Linked DNA regions of Schizosaccharomyces pombe. The gene in region 3 interacts genetically with the main gene of each other region. Each region holds a gene or a part of one and is shown on either strand. Other genes may lie near its edges.

Region 1 (7,355 bases), on a different chromosome or scaffold from region 3:
GTGAGCGAACTTTGGTTTTTTATAAAGAGGGACTCGGTAATACTACAACCATAATTTGCTGTGAACCAGTGATCGGCTTAGGACATAACTATCAGAAAACATATGCCTTCAAGAGAAAAGATGTTACTTCCTTCAGAACTCTGGATGATTTTCACGTAACGGCTAACTGTCATTCAATTGATTGCTTTAAGTATTCAATTGCTCTTTGTCACAATAAAGGCATTGACGTTCTGCGTTTGGACCCTAAATTAGCAGTTGGTTTTCCAAGCCCTTCAGTGCTTAATGATACGTTGTTTCGGAACCGAATCAACAACAGTAAGCCGCTTGGCGTCTTTCGCATCCACGATCCTAGCTTATTTGCATGCTGCTATCAATTCGGTGCCGTGTTTGTCAATGGAGAGGGTAGTATGGTTAATAAAGAGTGTTGGTTTGATTGGATTGGCAAACCGAACTCTGTTACCAGCTGTCATGGATATCTCATTGCATTTAATGATGAATTTGTCGAAATATGGAACACGCGAACTAGGAAACTTAATCAAATTATCCAAGGAAATGACATTAAATACTACCCTAGTAACAGTGATTGGCTAGCCAATGGGAAATATATAATGTTTGGCATGGTTCATCCTCAGTATCACGATCGCCATTTGATACTCGCTTTAAATAAGGCAAAAACAAACTCCTTCATAATTGAAGATTGATAATTATCATATTTATTACAAGTTTTCTTGCCATGATTGTCTTTTTTACTCATCCATACTTTTGAATATCGGAAACGTTTATCTTATTTTGTTTTACGGAACATCCTGCATCTTTCGAATCATATTTTATCGCAGCCTTGAAATTTTATTTCTTCTTTTTTTTTTTTTTTACATTTCCCTACCCATTTTATCACAAAGGAATATTAAAATCTGCATGCATTAACATTTTTTAATTACTTAAAATGATCGCTACTATCATTATGTTCAGTGTTAAGCCAAAATTGGCTTATTGTACAAGTTGCATAAACTTGCCGACTACAGTTGATGAAAACAGAGAACATTGTTGTTTTTTTACGTAACTGGTTATGGTATTCTGCATGTTTTGATCATAAGTTTAAAGATGTGGTTACACATTGAAGCACCATGCTTTCTTTCAAACACTAACTGAAGCAACTAACATTTCTGTATATTTACTTATTGATTATTACCAGGGCCATAGCTGTAGATGGTCAGTAAGCACATAATAATTACTGATTGCGATTATTAGCTAGAGCGTGTTCTTATAATTATTCAGTAAGAGGCATGATTAGAGTGCTATATATAAAATGTAGATAAATAAATGCCGAGTTTAGTTATTTGCTTTAAAAGTTGTGTTCGGTACGATGAGGAACATATTATTTGCGTATCTAGTCACAAATTACTCATATATCTGTAATAGCGGGAGTTTTTTATACAATCATTTTACCTAAAAGCACGGGGGAACATGAAATTTCGATTAAACCGTAACCCCTAATCCTACGTTCATTTGATGTTTTGAGTATTAGTACAATGTATTTTCAATTATTACTTAATATCTTCAATCTTGATGAAAGTAAAGCTTTAAAAATTTGTCAGGACTTTAATTGCAAAAGACCGAGTATATAATGACCTCCATCTATTAATATTATTTCTTTTAAAAGATATATATACCTTCTTAATTGTGATATTAAAATCATTATGTTATAGGAATGTTTCTGGATGCTACCTTAACCTATACTAAATGTTTTAACGCAAATATGATCAAGTACATAAACGTTCGATTAACGCATGCGTTAATCGAATGTTCAAGTGCTTAAATCATTAATTGCTGTGCGTTCAACGGGGAGTACAAAAAGTATCCAACAACATAGTTCTTTAACGTTTTCTCTGTGCATTTGTTGATCCTTCTTTTCGGATATATCTATTGCTATCTTTTTGGATTTTTTCACTCTTTGATTTTTGGTCTATCCTTATTGTTTTACAAGGTTTTGGTATTGTACACCGCATTGTTTATTTTCAGGAAAGGCGGTAAATAACCGTCTTAGAGAGTAGCCCGATGACAGAAGTAATATCTAATAAAATAACTGCAAAAGATGGTGCAACTAGTCTGAAGGATATTGATGATAAACGATGGGTTTGGATTTCCGACCCAGAGACTGCCTTTACCAAGGCTTGGATTAAAGAGGATCTGCCAGACAAGAAATATGTTGTTCGGTATAATAATTCCAGGGATGAGAAGATCGTTGGTGAGGATGAAATTGATCCGGTGAATCCTGCCAAGTTTGATAGAGTCAATGACATGGCTGAGTTGACATACTTAAACGAGCCTGCAGTCACATACAATCTTGAACAGAGATATCTCTCTGATCAAATTTATACCTATTCTGGGCTCTTTCTCGTTGCGGTCAATCCTTATTGTGGACTACCAATCTATACGAAGGACATCATTCAATTGTACAAAGATAAAACACAAGAGCGCAAGCTACCTCATGTCTTCGCAATCGCGGATTTAGCATACAATAACCTTTTAGAAAATAAGGAAAATCAATCGATTCTTGTAACTGGTGAGTCCGGCGCAGGTAAAACAGAGAATACCAAAAGAATCATCCAATATCTTGCAGCAATTGCTAGCTCGACTACCGTTGGCTCTAGTCAGGTTGAAGAGCAGATCATTAAAACGAATCCTGTGCTCGAATCATTTGGTAATGCTCGTACCGTACGCAACAACAATTCTTCTCGTTTTGGAAAATTCATTAAAGTTGAGTTTTCTTTGAGTGGGGAAATTTCGAATGCCGCCATAGAATGGTATCTTCTTGAAAAATCTCGCGTTGTTCATCAGAACGAGTTTGAAAGAAACTACCATGTTTTTTATCAGCTTTTAAGTGGTGCTGATACTGCTCTCAAGAACAAACTTCTTTTAACCGATAACTGTAATGATTATCGATATTTGAAGGATTCGGTTCACATTATTGATGGAGTTGACGATAAAGAAGAGTTTAAAACTCTTTTAGCTGCTTTTAAAACTCTTGGATTTGACGATAAAGAGAACTTTGATTTATTTAATATACTTTCCATTATTCTACATATGGGAAATATTGATGTCGGTGCTGATCGCTCTGGTATAGCTCGTCTTCTCAATCCTGATGAGATTGACAAGCTCTGTCATTTGCTTGGTGTGTCTCCGGAGTTATTTTCACAAAATCTTGTTCGACCTCGTATTAAAGCAGGCCATGAATGGGTTATCAGCGCTCGAAGTCAAACTCAAGTCATTTCGTCCATTGAAGCATTAGCAAAAGCCATATACGAAAGGAATTTTGGATGGCTGGTAAAGCGACTTAACACTTCCTTGAACCATTCCAATGCCCAAAGCTACTTTATTGGTATTTTAGATATCGCCGGTTTCGAAATCTTTGAGAAAAACAGTTTTGAACAACTTTGCATTAATTACACAAATGAAAAGTTGCAACAATTCTTTAACCATCACATGTTCGTATTGGAGCAAGAAGAATATATGAAAGAAGAAATTGTATGGGATTTCATTGATTTTGGACATGATTTACAGCCGACTATTGATTTAATCGAGAAAGCAAACCCAATAGGTATTCTTTCATGTTTGGATGAAGAATGTGTTATGCCGAAAGCAACTGATGCTACGTTTACTTCTAAACTTGATGCTCTTTGGAGGAACAAGTCGCTAAAATATAAACCTTTTAAGTTTGCCGATCAAGGTTTTATTTTGACTCATTATGCCGCTGATGTTCCTTACAGTACAGAAGGTTGGCTGGAGAAGAACACCGATCCTTTGAATGAAAACGTTGCTAAGTTGCTTGCGCAATCTACTAACAAGCATGTCGCTACACTATTTTCTGATTATCAGGAAACTGAGACTAAAACTGTTAGGGGAAGGACGAAAAAGGGCCTTTTTCGAACTGTTGCTCAAAGGCATAAAGAGCAGCTCAATCAGCTTATGAATCAATTTAACTCGACCCAACCTCACTTTATTCGTTGTATTGTTCCAAACGAAGAAAAGAAAATGCACACCTTTAATAGACCCCTCGTTTTAGGACAACTTCGATGTAATGGTGTTTTGGAAGGAATCAGAATCACAAGGGCTGGTTTTCCTAACCGTTTACCATTTAATGATTTTAGAGTCAGATATGAGATAATGGCGCATTTACCAACAGGTACCTATGTGGAATCTCGACGTGCTTCTGTCATGATTTTGGAGGAGTTGAAAATTGACGAAGCATCTTATCGAATTGGTGTTTCAAAAATATTTTTCAAAGCAGGTGTTTTAGCAGAATTAGAGGAGAGGCGCGTAGCGACTTTACAAAGACTGATGACTATGCTACAAACAAGGATCCGTGGCTTTCTTCAAAGAAAAATTTTTCAAAAGCGATTGAAGGACATACAAGCCATCAAATTACTACAAGCAAATTTGCAAGTGTACAATGAATTTAGAACTTTTCCTTGGGCTAAGTTATTTTTCAATCTAAGGCCCTTATTAAGTAGTACTCAAAATGATAAGCAGCTTAAAAAGCGAGATGCTGAAATCATAGAGCTGAAGTACGAGCTGAAAAAACAACAGAATTCAAAATCTGAGGTAGAGCGTGATCTCGTCGAGACCAACAATTCTTTAACTGCTGTTGAAAATTTGCTTACTACTGAACGTGCGATAGCCCTTGATAAGGAGGAAATATTACGTCGAACACAGGAAAGGCTTGCAAACATAGAAGATTCGTTTAGCGAAACAAAACAGCAAAATGAAAATTTGCAACGAGAGTCAGCGTCATTGAAACAGATTAATAACGAATTAGAAAGTGAGTTACTAGAAAAAACTTCCAAGGTTGAGACTTTGTTATCAGAACAGAACGAACTGAAAGAAAAACTGAGTTTGGAAGAGAAGGATTTGCTAGATACAAAGGGAGAACTTGAGTCTTTACGTGAGAACAATGCAACTGTTTTATCAGAAAAAGCAGAGTTCAATGAACAATGTAAAAGTTTACAGGAAACTATCGTTACCAAGGATGCTGAACTTGATAAACTCACTAAATATATTTCTGACTATAAAACTGAAATTCAAGAAATGAGACTGACAAATCAGAAGATGAATGAAAAGAGTATTCAGCAGGAAGGTTCTTTATCTGAGAGTCTCAAACGAGTCAAAAAATTAGAACGTGAAAATTCTACTCTTATAAGCGACGTCTCTATTTTAAAACAGCAGAAAGAAGAGTTAAGCGTCTTGAAAGGAGTGCAAGAGTTAACAATAAATAACTTAGAAGAGAAGGTTAATTATTTGGAAGCCGATGTCAAACAGCTTCCGAAATTGAAGAAAGAACTAGAATCCTTGAATGACAAAGATCAACTTTATCAGCTCCAGGCTACCAAAAATAAAGAACTGGAAGCCAAAGTTAAAGAATGTTTAAATAACATCAAATCGTTAACGAAAGAGCTTGAAAATAAGGAAGAGAAATGCCAAAATTTGTCAGATGCTTCTTTAAAGTACATTGAATTGCAAGAAATCCATGAGAATTTACTTCTTAAAGTTAGCGACTTGGAGAATTACAAGAAAAAATATGAAGGACTTCAGCTGGACTTGGAGGGGTTAAAAGACGTCGATACAAACTTTCAGGAACTTTCGAAAAAACATCGTGATTTGACCTTTAATCATGAAAGTCTTCTTCGGCAATCGGCGTCCTACAAGGAAAAGCTTTCGTTGGCGAGCTCCGAGAATAAAGATCTCTCTAATAAGGTATCGAGTTTGACGAAGCAAGTAAATGAACTTTCTCCAAAAGCATCTAAGGTTCCCGAACTTGAGAGGAAGATTACTAACTTAATGCACGAGTACAGTCAACTCGGTAAGACCTTTGAAGATGAAAAGCGTAAAGCATTGATAGCTAGTCGAGATAACGAAGAATTACGCTCTTTGAAATCAGAGTTGGAGAGTAAACGAAAGCTTGAAGTTGAGTATCAAAAGGTACTAGAAGAAGTAAAAACAACTAGAAGCCTCCGTTCGGAAGTCACCCTTTTAAGGAACAAAGTTGCTGATCATGAAAGTATACGTAGTAAGCTTTCAGAAGTAGAAATGAAGCTGGTTGATACTCGAAAGGAACTGAATTCTGCTCTTGATTCCTGCAAGAAGCGAGAGGCAGAGATACATCGCCTTAAAGAACATAGACCGTCCGGAAAGGAGAATAATATACCGGCTGTCAAAACTACGGAACCCGTTTTGAAAAATATTCCACAACGAAAGACAATTTTTGATTTACAGCAAAGAAATGCAAATCAAGCGTTATACGAGAACTTGAAACGAGACTACGACCGTCTTAATCTTGAGAAGCACAACTTAGAGAAGCAAGTTAATGAGTTAAAAGGGGCCGAAGTATCACCTCAACCTACTGGCCAATCTTTGCAACATGTCAACTTGGCTCATGCTATTGAATTGAAAGCTCTGAAGGATCAAATAAATAGCGAAAAGGCAAAAATGTTTTCCGTTCAAGTACAATATGAAAAACGTGAGCAGGAGTTACAAAAACGAATTGCTTCTTTGGAAAAAGTGAACAAAGATTCGTTAATAGATGTGAGAGCTTTACGAGATCGCATTGCAAGCCTTGAAGATGAGTTGCGCGCCGCATGAAGTTAAATGATTTTGTAATGATGAAACCTTTATTAATTATATTATATATACTGACATATACTTCTCTTATAAGTTTACGAGCTATTTTTTTATTTTTTTTATTTAACAGCTGTACATAATATTCCCGCTATATAACCAAATATACATCTTAAATTTATATCGAGATATTAGCACGCATATAGGAACTTAAATAATATTACGAATTTTTTTGTAGTAGCGGAGTAAGTATACAATAGCATTAACATGAGACGAGCATAATGTAAAAACCTAAGAGTCATCTATGCTGCACTTGAGGAAGATTGATTCTGATACTCCTGCCGATATTCGGTTAATAGAGCATCCATATCAATGTCTGAATCCGGAAAGAACTCTGTAACGAATGATTTCAAGCCTTCAATAGAAATTTCAGTTACTGCACGGGATCCAATATAATAAACAAACTGGTTATGGGTATCATCTTTCACTCTATCTAAATACCCTTGGCGAACTAAAAGAGATAACGAGCGAGTAATATCCAGATGCAAAGGGGTTGTTTCTTCCTCTGTTAGAAGTTCCTGCAAAAAAGATTGCAGTTCTGAATGTCCTACACTGCAATGAGAAACGGCTATGAATGCGATCACAGTCATCAAAAATCCATAATAAGCAGTATCCAATACCGAATCTACAATTAAGCGAGAATCCTTTTGAAGTTCCATAGGAAGGGTAGACCTCAACACCCA
Region 2 (4,077 bases), on a different chromosome or scaffold from region 3:
TTTTTCATCAACATCATTTAACGTTCGTTTTAATGCGTCTATACTCTGTCACGAGTTCAGGCACCGGGTCTTGGCCATCCTTTTTCATACATGTTCTGCAAATTTCGATGGATCTTTTCTTTCCATGTTTCAGCAGCAACTTATTTTATTTAATATGGTTAACATTTTTCTCTTATTCTTTGAACAATGGTTTTAATATTATCATAATACTACAAAAAAAAATAATAATCTCTTGTAATAATATATGTTGACGAAACAATTCTAAATAAAGTCATAGGAATGTAATATCATTGGATTTGTTTATACAGAGAGGCGTCGTCAGTCCAAATTACTTTGTCACTATATATTAATCGCTCAACTATACAACTGGCTAATCGGGCTCCATCTCCTACAGCTTCATAATTCACTACTTCCTCTCTTTTTATATTTGAAGAACACTAATCATACCAATGTCTTACAATTTATAAGAATTTTACCTCAACTATACTATCCAACAATGATCATATACCATGTATGTATTAAATCTTTTTTTGACCTAATAAACTTTTGCTAATACTAATGTAAAACACATTCAACCATTTGGCTTCAAAGTTATACAAGTTCAGGTACCAATTAAATCAGTACTGAAGATGATACAACTCTACAGGACGAAAAGAAATGGCTGATGAAGTACATTGCACCACTTCCGCTTCTAACTATCTCGCAGTTACCACCTTGTACAAAATAAAATTCGTAAAAATTAACGGGAGTAAGTAAAATTCATTTACTACAGTTCTTTAATCGATAATCACAGCGATAAACATAACGAAAATATCGACAAAAATAATCGGCCGGACTCGAGAAGAAACATGTTAAAGAAAACGGGAAGTTATAAGCGAATGAAGTAACATCATAGGTATCTACTGGAAATATTTCTGTAACTTCAATATGTAAAAGGCTAGCTCTGCATTCGTCTATAATGAAAAAAAGAAAACAGAGCAAGAAAACGATAGTAATCAGAAAGTATATAAAACACTCCAATAATTGATACCCAAAGTTCCTCATGAGATGTTAAGAGCGGAAAAAGGTGGTTAAATAGGTAAAAAAAGATTGAAATTTATATATATCAGAAGAATCGATGTTATTCAAAAGTATGTAAAAAACGTTACAAAAAGTAAGAGGAGCTTAGAAGCACTTACGGTAAACGATACCAGGTCCGCTCTCATCATACTCTTGCTTGGAGATCCACATCTGTTGGAAAGTAGAAAGAGAAGCAAGAATGGATCCACCAATCCAGACAGAGTATTTACGCTCAGGAGGAGCAACAATCTTGACCTTCATGGAGCTAGGAGCAAGGGCTTGAATCTCCTTTTGCATACGATCGGCAATACCGGGATACATAGTGGTACCACCAGACATAACAACGTTACCGTACAAATCTTTACGAATATCAACATCACATTTCATGATAGAGTTGTAAGTAGCCTCATGAATACCGGCGTTTTCAAGACCCAAAGCTGAGGGTTGGAAAAGAGCTTCAGGGGCACGGAAACGCTCGTTTCCGATAGTGATAACTTGACCATCAGGAAGCTCATAAGATTTCTCAAGGGAGGAAGATTGAGCAGCAGTTTGAAGTTCTTGCTCAAAGTCCAAAGCGACGTAGCAAAGTTTCTCCTTGATGTCACGAACAATTTCACGTTCGGCGGTAGTAGAGAAAGTATAACCACGCTCCATGAGAATCTTCATAAGGTAGTCAGTCAAGTCACGACCGGCGAGATCAAGACGCATGATAGCATGAGGAAGAGCATAACCCTCATAAATGGGAACAGTGTGGGTAACACCATCACCAGAGTCCAAGACGATACCAGTGGTACGACCAGAGGCATACAAAGACAAAACAGCTTGAATAGCAACATAAAAGGCAGGTGCATTAAAGGTTTCGAAAATAATTTGAGTCATCTTCTCACGGTTGGATTTGGGGTTCAAAGGAGCCTCAGTCAACAAGCAAGGGTGCTCCTCAGGAGCAACACGAAGCTCGTTGTAGAAAGTGTGATGCCAAATCTTTTCCATATCATCCCAGTTGTTGACAATACCGTGCTCAATGGGGTACTTCAAGGTCAAAATACCACGCTTGCTTTGAGCTTCATCACCAACGTAGGAATCCTTTTGTCCCATACCTACCATAATACCATGGTGACGGGGTCTACCGACAATCGAGGGGAATACAGCTCTAGGGGCATCATCTCCAGCGAAACCGGCTTTGCACATACCAGAGCCATTATCAATAACCAACGCTGCGATTTCTTCTTCCATGGTCTTGTCTTTTGAGGGTTTTTTGGTTCGTTACAAAAAATGTAGTTGGTAAACGGTAAGTTATAACACGGCTGGCTGAGGTGGTATGAAGCCGTTGATTACATATAGATAAGATACACAGTTATACAGTGAAAATCTCTTATATATTTTAAAATATACATTTAAGTATAATGGGTGTTTAAATATGTATGAAATTGCTATATTTGAGCCACTTTTTTGATAAAGCCACACACAGCGTTAGCACTTCACGGCAGAATGCGCACGGAAGAAGACCGCGGAAACGGATAACATTGAGCAACCGGTTGTAGTACTGTAAGCGATATAGCAAATCCTTTAAAAGCTCTTATAAACATATAAGGAAATATAATTTCCGCGTTATTTAACTTGAAAAGCAAAAAACAAAAGAAAATGAAAGTTCACGATATCGAATATAAAAGAGATGGTCATAAAAATCTTATCAAAATTCACAGACAAATCTTCAAAGGTATTTCAAGTATTTGCAACTCGCGTGTCCCTATTTTATTAGTATTCATTCGACATTGTTATGATCAATAATTTAACACTAGCAAAAAAAAAGGTAATTTTTTTTTATCAAATGGCTATTAAATTACATCTAATTAAAAATTTCTCTTGATACAATGTATTATAGTTGGGTTGAATCGTATACTATAAAAATAATTAGTGATCAAAAGAATGAATATTAGTTTTAATCAAAGATAGATAAAAGTATAAGAATAATCATTAACATAAAAATTAAGATGTCATAAAATAAAAGAAAAATTCAGTAAAAACAACCCAAACACCGTCTCATTATCGTAGATCAAACACTAAAGAGCAAGCTGACTTTTACGATAGTGATAGAGCAATCCTCCAACAGCTACAAATTGACATATTAGTGCAATATAAAAGCAAGGTGATGCACAAGGTCCCGGTCCTTCGCTAGGATTCCATGCACCAAGATTTGGGAATACTCGATCACTTACAGGCAGAGAAGGTTTTGCGATCATAATTGTAATACAACTTATAACTTGCGCTAGCATCAACGTGAAAGCAACATGATCTCTCGCCAGGGTTTGCAGTAACATTACACCGACACCGACTCCCTGTATCCCGTCCCATAGAGCTAGCAAAAGCCATACTGACTTCGTCAGCAAGGCAGAAGCCTTACCAGCCCATGGTAAATTAATTCCGAGACCCGAGGATGACCAAAACTCTAAGCACCAGCGTGGACAAATGAGGCCCAATCCAAATATCACTGGAAACCAAACGTTATTAAGAGACAAAATCTTTATAACTGATAAGAGAACGGCCCAAACCACGATGAAGAAAATGAGTAAAAGAATGATTATGCTCCACAAAGGAGTGTTGCTAGTATTCCAGAAAAACCTCCAAGCCTGGCCATAAGGGACAGCAAGCCAGTAATTGATTAAAATTTGAGAGATAAAAAACCAAATTACAATATTTCGTTTTCCTAATGAACGATAAAACGCTGGAATGATAGAAGGAGCTTGGCGATAAAAAGCAGGTAAACCTGCGAATGTTACGTAGGAAAGCCCGAAGCAAATGAAAGAGGCGATAAGTCCCCCTGCAAAAATGCCAGGCCCCACATTTTGAGTCAAATCTTTCTTCGATAATAGATCTCCCCATGACCAGAGGATTGCAGACCAAATCTGTTGAATCCCATGTACAAGACAGGCCCTCAAAATCCAATGATGAGTTGCGATACCTCCTTCGGCACCAAAATTCCATGCAAAATACAGCGATCCAGTAGAACTTGAAATGGCA
Region 3 (10,197 bases):
TAGACTTTTCTCATAAATGAGAATGTGATGAATAAAAGAGTGAAAATAAAGGATAAAAGGCTAAGCGTAAAAAAATAAGAAACAAGAAGGGATATGAAGACAAATATGGCCATAATTAAGGTGATTTTATTCCAAAGAACCTTCCGGATCTAAAAGATCAATGTTTGCGCTAGTAACAGCACCATCCAAAATGAGTTCAGATAACACTTTTCCTGTACCAGGTCCCAAAGTTATACCCCAACAGCCGTGAGCTGCCGCAACATAAATAGATGAACCAATTTTTCCAATGACAGGAGCACCCGTTGCATTAGAAATGGGCAAATAACACGCTTGACGAACTTTAACAGGAGAATCACGAATTATTTGGTGGAAATGGTTGGCACATTGTTTAATCAAAGCGCATTTATCTTGATCCACCTTCGTATCTGACGACAATTCAGGCAAAGGCTCGTCATCGAATTCACCACATACATACAGCTCATCTTCACGTGCATAAAACTCCGGAGCAGCAATTGTCCCATCTTTATAGGTAATTTCAGAAAATACAGCATTGCCGTTTAGCTTGATAGGAAGATCGATAGTTATGCTATGAATTCGTGCTCCACTTATTCGCAAGTTGGGTATTAATTGGGGAGTCCAAGGACCGGCAGCGACAATTATGTGAGTTGCCTCCATTGAATGAATGGTATGCAGTTCTTCAGCCGAAGTAATTTCCTCCTCTTCATCCGGGGCGTAGTCATCACCAATAAGCCGATATTCAACTTCATTTTCATCAACACTTAATACATGACCTTTTACCAAGGTAACGTTTGCAACCTTACTGGCCTCTTCGTAAATAGCATGACAAAATTTATAAGGATGAACTTGACCAGAATTTTTCTTGTTTCCTAAACGAGTAACATTCTCAACAATAGAGGGAGCAATCCATTCAATTCCCTCAGGCAATTTATCAGGTTGTTGGCAATTTTCGTCAGCTTTAATGGACCAAGTATCTAACGCTCGATAACCCCATTTATTGACTCCATCATATTGATCCGATAATTCTTTGTGTAGGTTGTACGAAAGAGCAGCTAAAGAACTCGTCGAAGGGCCATGCCATTCTAAGGAAAGGAAACCAGATGCTTTTCCAGAAGCGGCAGATGCAATACCAGCACTTTCAAAAAGTGTTATAGTGTCACGATCACGATTAAAACTGGGGTGATGAGCCAAAAAATATAAACAGCTCACACCGGTGATTCCACCTGAAAAATATTTGTTAGTAAGTTATGAAAATTGCGGCAGTAAAGTAAAATAGCAATCAAAGCAAAGCTCATCTGAGCATGGCAGGAAAGAAGTTTCACCGTCATAAAGCTGATGAACTTCTTGTCAATATCAACAACATCAACAATATATGAGTTAAGATAAAAGAGATCATGAGTCCAGCTATTTTTAAAGTCACATACCACCGACAATTACAATGTTTCGAGAATTGCTCATTGTTATTTCTAAAACTCGGTTTAAATTTAAACCAAGTAATGTAGACTCTGAAATTTAATTATATACCAATAATTCCAATTTTCAAAGAAAGATTACGAATTTAAAATTTTCACAACGTTGGTGTTGGGTAGTTCGGTGGTCAAGATGTGCGCGCTAATCTTCTAAATCCGTTGAACTTAAAACCAATAGTGAGTGGTCAGCGCAAGTTGGTAGTTAAAGCGTTTAAAAAGCTCGTCGTCAATCTATTTCAATGAGCACTAGTTAAATTATAAAAAAAGATTAAGCACATAAACAATCTCAATAGTTAATAGTTATGCTATTTACTGAATTATACATGCTACTACTCGAGCGTAGACTAATTTTAGACTTCTCGAAAAACAACATGTGTATAAAAATAATTGAAATTTCATTTTGTAGAATGTTTGACTTAATGCATGCTCGTGTTCTACCATTCTACCAACGATACATCAATCAGAGTATGTTTCTCGAAAAGACAGTTCTGCAACAGCACAATGTATTTGCCTTAGAAAATGTAACAAGTTAATTACACCGAAAATATAATTGAGCAATATTTAAATAGTGAGTCTTCGCCAATGATTCGTCACTTTATAAAAGAAACGAAGAAACATTAGCACACATCGAATGATTTCTAAACGATTTTCATCTTAACATTAGTCCTATTTTACTTCAGATTGAAAAATTTTACAGAGTTCTACATCAATTTGCGCAACAGACATTATGATAAATAGAATAGGGATTTAAATCATTATATTTACATACTCATAAGAAGATTTTTAAAGAAATATGACAAAATGTCAAACGAGCCAGCTCTTTCTATTAAAAATGATGAACATGATACACACTTCAAAAAAAGGGCAATCTTCCAACTAAACTAACTTCCAAAATTAGAAAAAAAAATTATGCAATGGTAGAAAGATTGCATCATTAACCTATTTCTCATTCTCCTTAGGCGCCAATTTTCCAGATAATAAACCTGCAAGCATTTCTTGTGCTCGTTGTGGTGATTTGATAGGAGTACTTTGACTTAAGATTCGGTTATGATCCAAAATAGAAACGGAAGGCGATACTAATATTTTGTTGACGGGCGTTTCTTCAGAAGAATAAACCTTCTTACCTCCTACTGATTGAAGATGTCGTTCAGAGTTTTGTTTCAATTTTTCCAGACGTTCCATATATGAGGACTTATTGCTGCCGTCTGGTTTAGTAGCTTGTTGAAAATTCAAATCATTAGTTCCCGAAAATTTATTGCTTTTCAAAGGACTCATTTGCTGCAACATGCGTCGACGGCCACGGCTATTGTTTCTTCGTAAAATAGTGTTAATATCATTGTTACCAGGTTTAGCTCTGGCTGTTGAAATCGTAGTTGTAGTCGGAAAAGTTTCCTTCAAGTCATTGGTGGCATTTTCTAAGTTCCGAGAGACAGCGCTGGTATCTTCATTAAGTTCGGTGTTATTAGGAATCATGGGAGCAACCAGATTATTTTCGACACCACGAGGAAAAGTATTCTCCTTTTCGTTAGCATGTTTACTTGCCCTAGTACCATTTGAAATTGTCGGCGTAAGCAAATTAACTTTAGAAGCCTTTTGAGGAAATACTTTCTTCTCGTTTGAAATAGTATCAGATTTTAGAGATTCTTTAGACGGTTTATTCTGAGGGCTTGTCTGGTTATTGTTTATACCTTTATCCTTTCGAGCTTTACCCGTCTTCTTAGAATCCCGGTTTTGTGAACCTCTTCTTGATTTTGAACTAAACCTTCGAAATTTCTCACCATTAAAGGGTTTTTGCCTATTAGAATCTTCCAAACTGCTTGGATCAGAAAAAGTGTAAGAAGCGGAGCGACCCTTATTACTTTTATTCTTCGAATTTTTGTTAAGGACATAGCTATCAGATACCTGACGGCCCGAACGACGCTTTTCGTAGTTGTATCCCTTTTTAGCTTTGCTAGATACTTCTCCTTTTTTCGTTGGAGTAATATTTAATGCGTCAGATAATCCATCGGTTGATTCACTACCCTTAGGATACCTTGGCCTAACTTTTGCCAAGTCACTTTTTACCGAAGATCTCTTAGGAACAAATAATTCGTTTTTTGCAGGACTAGATTTAGTAGAAGTGTTAGGAGCTTCTATTAAATGTTCTTTACCCATAGTAATGGCGGATCTATTTCGTGGTTTATGGTGACTTTCTAATTTGACGTTTCTCAATTTATCAAGGAAACCATCCATTGCTTCATTATCCATTTTGTTATTTTCAGACATTGCACGTTCAAGCACGTGTTCTTTATGATTGTTGACAAGATTCAAACGTCTATGCTGTGAAGCTTCTTCTTCTTCCGATTTCAAGTTGTCAGATCTAGCCTTAGAGTAGTCAATTATGAAAGAATCAACACGTTTAAAGAACAGGTTCTTGGAATTAGGGTCATTAGGCTGTTCACCAAAATATCTCATAGCATTGTTCAGGGTAGTATTCATTGTACGTAAATGCTCTTTCAAAAAATCCATTTTTTTGGTGCCTTCCATTAACCAGGGTAATATAACTGAAAGGATTTTATCATCAGGATGAAATACCGTAGGGTCGGAAAGAGCCCCAGAATCACAGTCTATTTGTAAATTCTGACAACCACGAATTAACTCGGAGCACTCTTGTTCAATCGCTTCAATATTCAGTTTGGCTGCTTCAGTGACGGTTGATAGTTCAGGGGAAAAGTTGTCAAACTGAGGAAAATGCTTCCTAATAGTTATATCAAGTATATGAAGTAAACTTTTAGTGTTATTGGCATTTTTTATCAATGGAAGTCTTTGAAGTGAACCAATGGCAAATCCTTTAGCTTGGCGCACATAATCGTTCATATAGTTTCCTAAATATAGAATTAAATATAGCAAACCTTTAAAAACTTTGCTGTCCCGAAGCTCAAGAGCAGCCCGCCCTATAAGTTTTGTTTGACGAACAAGGTTCTCATAATTGGTTTCGATTATGTTTTTAACTTTTAGTGCATTCATTCTTTGGTTCCAATAACCCCCAAGATCAACTATAAGTCTCACATAAAGATAGTCCCAACGACTAAGCTCTGAAGCATCCTTTTCGCTATTAACTAGATCACCACCATTTGCCCAGTCAATACGATAAGGCTCCAAATCTGCTTTTAATTTAGGTTGATTTAGTACTTTGTCACTTGATAAAAATTCAACACACTCGTTCATGCTATCATCACAATGTAAAATCATGCGAATGATCTCATTCGGATTTTTGTGAGACAGCTTGTGAAAGTGAATACCAAAAAGCTTCTGAAGTTCACTACTCATGTAATCAGTTCTAGCACATGTTTTTTTGACCAATGTTTTTGCTTCCTTCATCGCAAAACTTTCATCTAATTCATCTAAGACCCCTGATGTATGCAAGGTTTCCAAAATTTTGTTGGCCTCGTCAGAAGGTCCCGTCCAAAATGTAAATTCCAGCCCAGAATTCAACTTCTCCCAATGCATTTGCTTCAAACGACGAGTTGGTCGACGAGTCAAACCAGTAGTCTTATGCAAATCATCTTTTGATATATTATTTGAAACAGCTGGGGATACGAATTTACCTCCAGCTGCACTTACTAAGGGAGGAGGAGGTGGTGGTGGTGGTGGAAAAGCAGGCATAACCCCAGCAACCGATGTATCATTAGCAACGATGTTCACAGAATCAGGATGGGAAAAGGTATTTAAACTAGTTTTAACAGGAAGAGGAGGAGGTGGTGGTGGAGTTGGATGTGTAATTATCGTTGGTAAAGAAGTTGCATCATTAGGAATATCAAAGTTCGTAATTTTACTATTGTTGCTAACTGTTTCTGCTTTGTTCTCAACGCTATTAATCTCATGCGTTTGATTTGAAATATCCTTTATTACGACGTTTGACTCAATACCCTTTCCCGGAATCTCCAAGTTCGCAAAGTCATCAATTCCTTTCATACTTTTGATGGACTCATCCTTTTCACTGGTTAACGATTCAGAAGCTGAACGACCAACATATCGATGTAAATGACGAGGGAATGGACGATGAAATTTTTTATCAGGAATTTGTAAAATAGTTGACACAGTTGAGGGCTGGCTGGACTGTCGAGACATTTGCTCCCTTAGATCCCGAAGTTTGTCATCAATTCCATCGTTTGACCAAAGTGTTGACTCTGCAGCAATTTCCTTTTTCCTCAAGTCAAGCTTATCCAACAAATATTCTATAATCCTTTCCTTGGAATTAGTTGAGCCCTGAAAAGAATCCGAATTGATAAGAAGATACAATTCTCGTAATTCCACTTCGCTCCTTTGGATTTGAGTAACATGAGACTTTTGGAGAGCATCAATTTCTGTTTTTAGAGTCTCATTCGTTCTTTTCTGAGAAAGAATAACGTCTTTCTGATCCTCTACTTCTTTGTTTAACTTCGCAATTAAGTCTTCGGCACCCAGATTTACTTGCGCAGCCATTGCATCTCTTTCAATAACCATTTTCTCAGCCATTGCACGTGACGCCTTTGCTTCCTTCAAAGCATTTCTGGCTGTGTCATCCGAATAGAATCTTTCGGTTAGCATATTTAAAGATGCCTGTAAACTATCTTCAAAACTTTCATTGGATACTTTTGAATTGAGCAGTATTCTTTGAAGTAAAGAGTTAAAAACCTTGATAAGTTTCACCTTTTGCTTTTCAGTACCTTTGGCAAGTAGTATGTTTTGAATAGTTGATTCAAGTAAACGGCCAACTTCATTTGATGCAAATTCATTGAAGCTACTTAAAATTGAGGATTCATTTGACATAAAGGAATCGACATCTTCATGCGTGGTCTGACTTATAGTCCTCCTCTCTTCTTCTGATTCATATATGTTTAGTTGTTTCTCAAGTTGTTGGTCAGGAAAGTTACGTAGAAGTTGTATAACTTCGTGTATACCTGATTCACGAAGGGAATCCAATATATCAAGGTCAAATCCTTGCTCCAATTCTTCGCAAGCAACAATTAGCTGATTGATAAATTCCATAGTGGAAGTACAATACTCAAGAAACGCTATGTTTGAAGGTGAGCTGGAAGCAGAATTTCGAGCAGGAGAAGATGGAGGGGTTCGTGCTAATTCTTTTTCCAAGATTATGTCTTTGAAAGATTTTATCCATCCAAAGAATAGCGGAACCTCCTTTTCATATTCGGCATTTATTTCTTTAAATCCAGTTTCCAATATGGAGACCACAAGAGGTTCCTTTAAAGACAGAACCCATGTCAATAAATCTGCGGCTACTTTCCTCGGAAGCAAATTTGGGGATATAAGGGTCACTGTTATTGCTTGAAATATATAAGAATTGGAAGTAACCAGAGTAGGTTTTTTCTTCAAAAGAGTAAGCATGCAACGAGGAACTTCAGCTTGCTGAGGCTGCACTACGGCAGACGAATTAAAATATGTAAGTAGATTATGCAAAGCTCGAAGTCCCTGCAGTTCAAGAAAAAGAGATATCCATCGATCGGATTGAGTTGATAATAAAGAAGAAAGTGTGATAAGTTGTAAATTACTAATTGTTTTATTCCATAGTTGGATTACGAACCAGGAAACAGGTCTATGGACGGCAGCTAATTCTGGAATTTGGAAAGAAGGATCATCAAACCCGGCGAAGTTAGAACGAATAAAACACCACTTTTCATCTGGAGTACAACTTTGAAGCATTTCAATGGCGTTTTCGTCAAAATCAAATACAGGGTGTCTTAAAAAATCGTTGAATAGATGTATTAGCTGATCCAATGAAGGTGGTCGAGTACTCGGAATTTCAAACTGAAACGAGCATACCGAATTAGGGCTCCCAGCTCGAATTGAACGTAGTCGATAAACTTGTTCATCATTAGTAGAAGTGAATTTTGGGGAAACCTCGTTGGTAATCTCAGGGACTTCAACAACAGGAGCAAGTTTATGCTTAGTTCGCCTTTTTGTCTTAGATACTGGAACTGAGGGAACAGGAGGTTTCGGCAAAGGATCAAAAGAGCGAGAATGTACAGGGGGTGTCACTGGAGCAATTTGGACATCCTCAGAACTTTTAATAATGTTTTTGGGCAACCTAGGACCCTTGAGATGTTTAGAAGTGTGCAAATGTTCAACGGAAGACGAAGATGGTAGATCAGTGACTTCAACTTTATTCGCTTTGGGTCGATGGACAGTAGATTTCTCGGGTGTTTTAGGTAAAGGAAGCTGGGAATTTTGCAAAGCATGTTTATTATGAGAATTGTACTCTTTCGATGAAAAGGTAAATTGCTTTACATACGGAGAAGTAACTGATTGGGACTTATTAGGCTGGATTAACGTCGATACTGATTCTATGGATGATGGAGGTTTATGGTACGTTGTTTTGGACTTAGGAGCCCTTGGCCCAATAGTTCTTCTGGCTGATGGAGTTGGAGTAGACAGAATAGAGTCATAAGAAAAATTAGGGTCCTGTCCCTTTGACGAATTTCGCATCTCTACTTCATAAACGAATGCAGCATTGTAATTGCTTTCAGGATCTTGTTTTCAAGTATTAACAAGGAAACTGTGATGAAAAGTTTTAGCTCAATTAAACCTTTTTTTTAAATTTGCTAAAAGTTGATGTTCAGAACTTGTTGACCTTCAAATTTGGATAAAGTGGAACACTTAGCGAGTAAGGGTTGGGATGGCTTAAATGATCTAAGATAATACGTATACTTGCGAACAAGTAAGTTGAAAGGAAATGAAACTTCGATATATCTAATATTATAATGGTTAAATTGCGTTATAGCGTATTAAATTTTATTTTTAGGATAATCGAAATTCTCGTCTTGTAAGTCTAGTCTGCATTTGGATGCGGTTTCTGGTTGCTTAAAACGTTGTTCAATGAGAAAATACATTCGTGAAGATCATTTTTACTTACAAAGCATTCGTAACATATTTTGTTGTCACGTTGAGCTAAATATAACCAGAAATTTGCAAATAAACGAGAATCACAAGAACGAATCCATTGGTGCTTTTATTTACATACCATATTAAATTACAATAACGAATTTTCACAATTCGTCCCTAAGTGTTCGAGTTAGAAATTAAAGAAACCTATACGATGCGCTGTATGTAACGATAAGTTTTTATAATGTTGAATTGATTTCAGCTACTAGCTTTAATTCTACCAAGCGCTTTTTGAACAGTTTAATTTTTAAAGCTACAATCCGGTTAGAAACATAAAGAACATGTGATGGTTATTTAATTAGACTAAATGATAGTTCTCAAACTAAAGGCGAGTTGCTTAGGATAGTGCACCTTATTGTCAGGTCATTCCAAAAATAATTACTAAAGGAAAAACCAGAAAAGGTGAGCTAACTCAAAGTTGTAAAATAAGTAATTATGCCTCTGTACTGACAAATGTCGAACTTCTGGGTAAGATGGGCTTAGTTATTAACAAACGAGGTTGAGAATAACACATACGTAGTAACAGCATTTTCAAAGAAACAAAAAGTCGTTTTGATCATTAATACGCCATTAACAGATACCAATGAGAGTAAAGTAAAGGTATCGTTGTGTCAACTAAAACTTCTTTCTAGTGTGATCAAATTTTGACCGTAGCAATGAGCCGGAAGGTGTAGAGGAAAGAGGTTTCGTGGTGGAAGGTGATTTTTGAAGACTTCCGACACCTTCAAACAAATCGTCAAAGGTACTATGTTGAACAGAAGGTAATCGTCGTAAAGGGGGAGACGAAGCAGAGGAAGTGGAGGACGATAGCCTCCTAGGATTGGCCGGAATATATGAAGCTTTTAAATTTGAAGGAGCCGCATTACTTGCATTTATGCTAACTGGGGAAGTAGGTCCTGTGTTAACTGGAGGCTGCCATCCAGGAGGACGAAGCCATTCAGGTAATGTCCCAATTTTGTCCATATAGTATTTTCTCATTACACGAGCAACGTGAGTATCTTCAATCGTATTATCGCTTTCAGGGTCGCGAATACGATTAATTTTTGAAGAAATCGATAACTTTGACCACATGATGAATCGAGAGTTCGCGTTTCTTTATGTACTACTTAATCTCTAAATTTTAAAGAACCTTGGCATTTGAATTCAAAAAATTTCAATAAAAGTAATTAATAAAAAAGTTTAGCCATTATTATGATGCCAAGAACGGCTTAATATCTGGCGACGCGGATTTCATAAAGACGCCAACTCGCTAAACTGTCTAAAGTGATTAATAACACGACCATGAACTACATTATATGTTTTAACGAATGTAAAATCAGCACATAAATAGATAATTTTATTGCAAATGTCCAATTGATTAATATCTTACAAATAAAAATAATTTGTGGGTGGATTTAAACATTTAATTTAGATACTCTCGAAGATGATGCATGAAATCGGCTAAAAAAAAGAATGAACGATGAAAAGCTTGGTAAACAAAATCAATACTGAGCAATCTTACTATGTAGTAGCTAATTAAGGTATACATAATTTCTAAATGGACTACGAAAATGTAGTTTTAAAATAGTTAGGTAAGTTTTAATTTTACTACTTGTAGTCTTCCAAAAATCATAAACTAGTATCTACAATAAAAATTTCTTTAAATTAAATATATGTCGGTGAAAAAGAGCCTCGCCCTTAATATGTATTCACTACGAAAACTAAATAAGGATATCGTATATATTAGTTGTTCTGCGTTCACAAAGCTGAGTGCATTTTTGGAGTTGAGCCATCATACTCTCACGCTTAA

Evidence for each region. A genetic interaction does not mean that the proteins touch.
Region 1: mutations in cdc12 (region 3) and myo2 are lethal when combined (synthetic lethality), as found in Schizosaccharomyces pombe (4 studies listed by BioGRID, with this or other methods).
Region 2: mutations in cdc12 (region 3) and act1 are lethal when combined (synthetic lethality), as found in Schizosaccharomyces pombe (3 studies listed by BioGRID, with this or other methods).

Annotation. Positions count from the first base shown.
Region 1 is NC_003421.2:1,232,731-1,240,085, reverse strand, and holds myo2 (myosin II heavy chain myo2), read left to right. Parts: upstream 1-1,849; 5' UTR 1,850-2,055; coding exon 2,056-6,636; 3' UTR 6,637-6,855; downstream 6,856-7,355. Other genes in the region: RhoGEF for Rho1, Rgf3, read left to right, coding at 1-701; Smc5-6 complex non-SMC MAGE family subunit Nse3, read right to left, coding at 6,915-7,355. UniProt on the Schizosaccharomyces pombe protein: Required for cell division. It is a component of the cdc12 'spot', a structure thought to mark the site of septation. May work in conjunction with myo3.
Region 2 is NC_003423.3:1,474,985-1,479,061, forward strand, and holds act1 (actin Act1), read right to left. Parts: upstream 2,350-4,077; 5' UTR 2,293-2,349; coding exon 1,165-2,292; 3' UTR 501-1,164; downstream 1-500. Other genes in the region: spore wall alpha-1,3-glucan synthase Mok12, read right to left, coding at 3,120-4,077. UniProt on the Schizosaccharomyces pombe protein: Actins are highly conserved proteins that are involved in various types of cell motility and are ubiquitously expressed in all eukaryotic cells.
Region 3 is NC_003424.3:281,231-291,427, reverse strand, and holds cdc12 (cytokinetic formin Cdc12), read right to left. Parts: upstream 8,085-10,197; 5' UTR 7,953-8,084; coding exon 2,427-7,952; 3' UTR 2,228-2,426; downstream 1-2,227. Other genes in the region: SPOM_SPAC1F5.03C (FAD-dependent oxidoreductase), read right to left, coding at 127-1,241, 1,443-1,476; exocytic docking protein Mso1, read right to left, coding at 9,024-9,479. UniProt on the Schizosaccharomyces pombe protein: Plays a role in the cell cycle. Involved in cytokinesis. Component of the cell division ring. In the absence of profilin, caps the barbed end of actin filaments, thus preventing subunit addition and dissociation.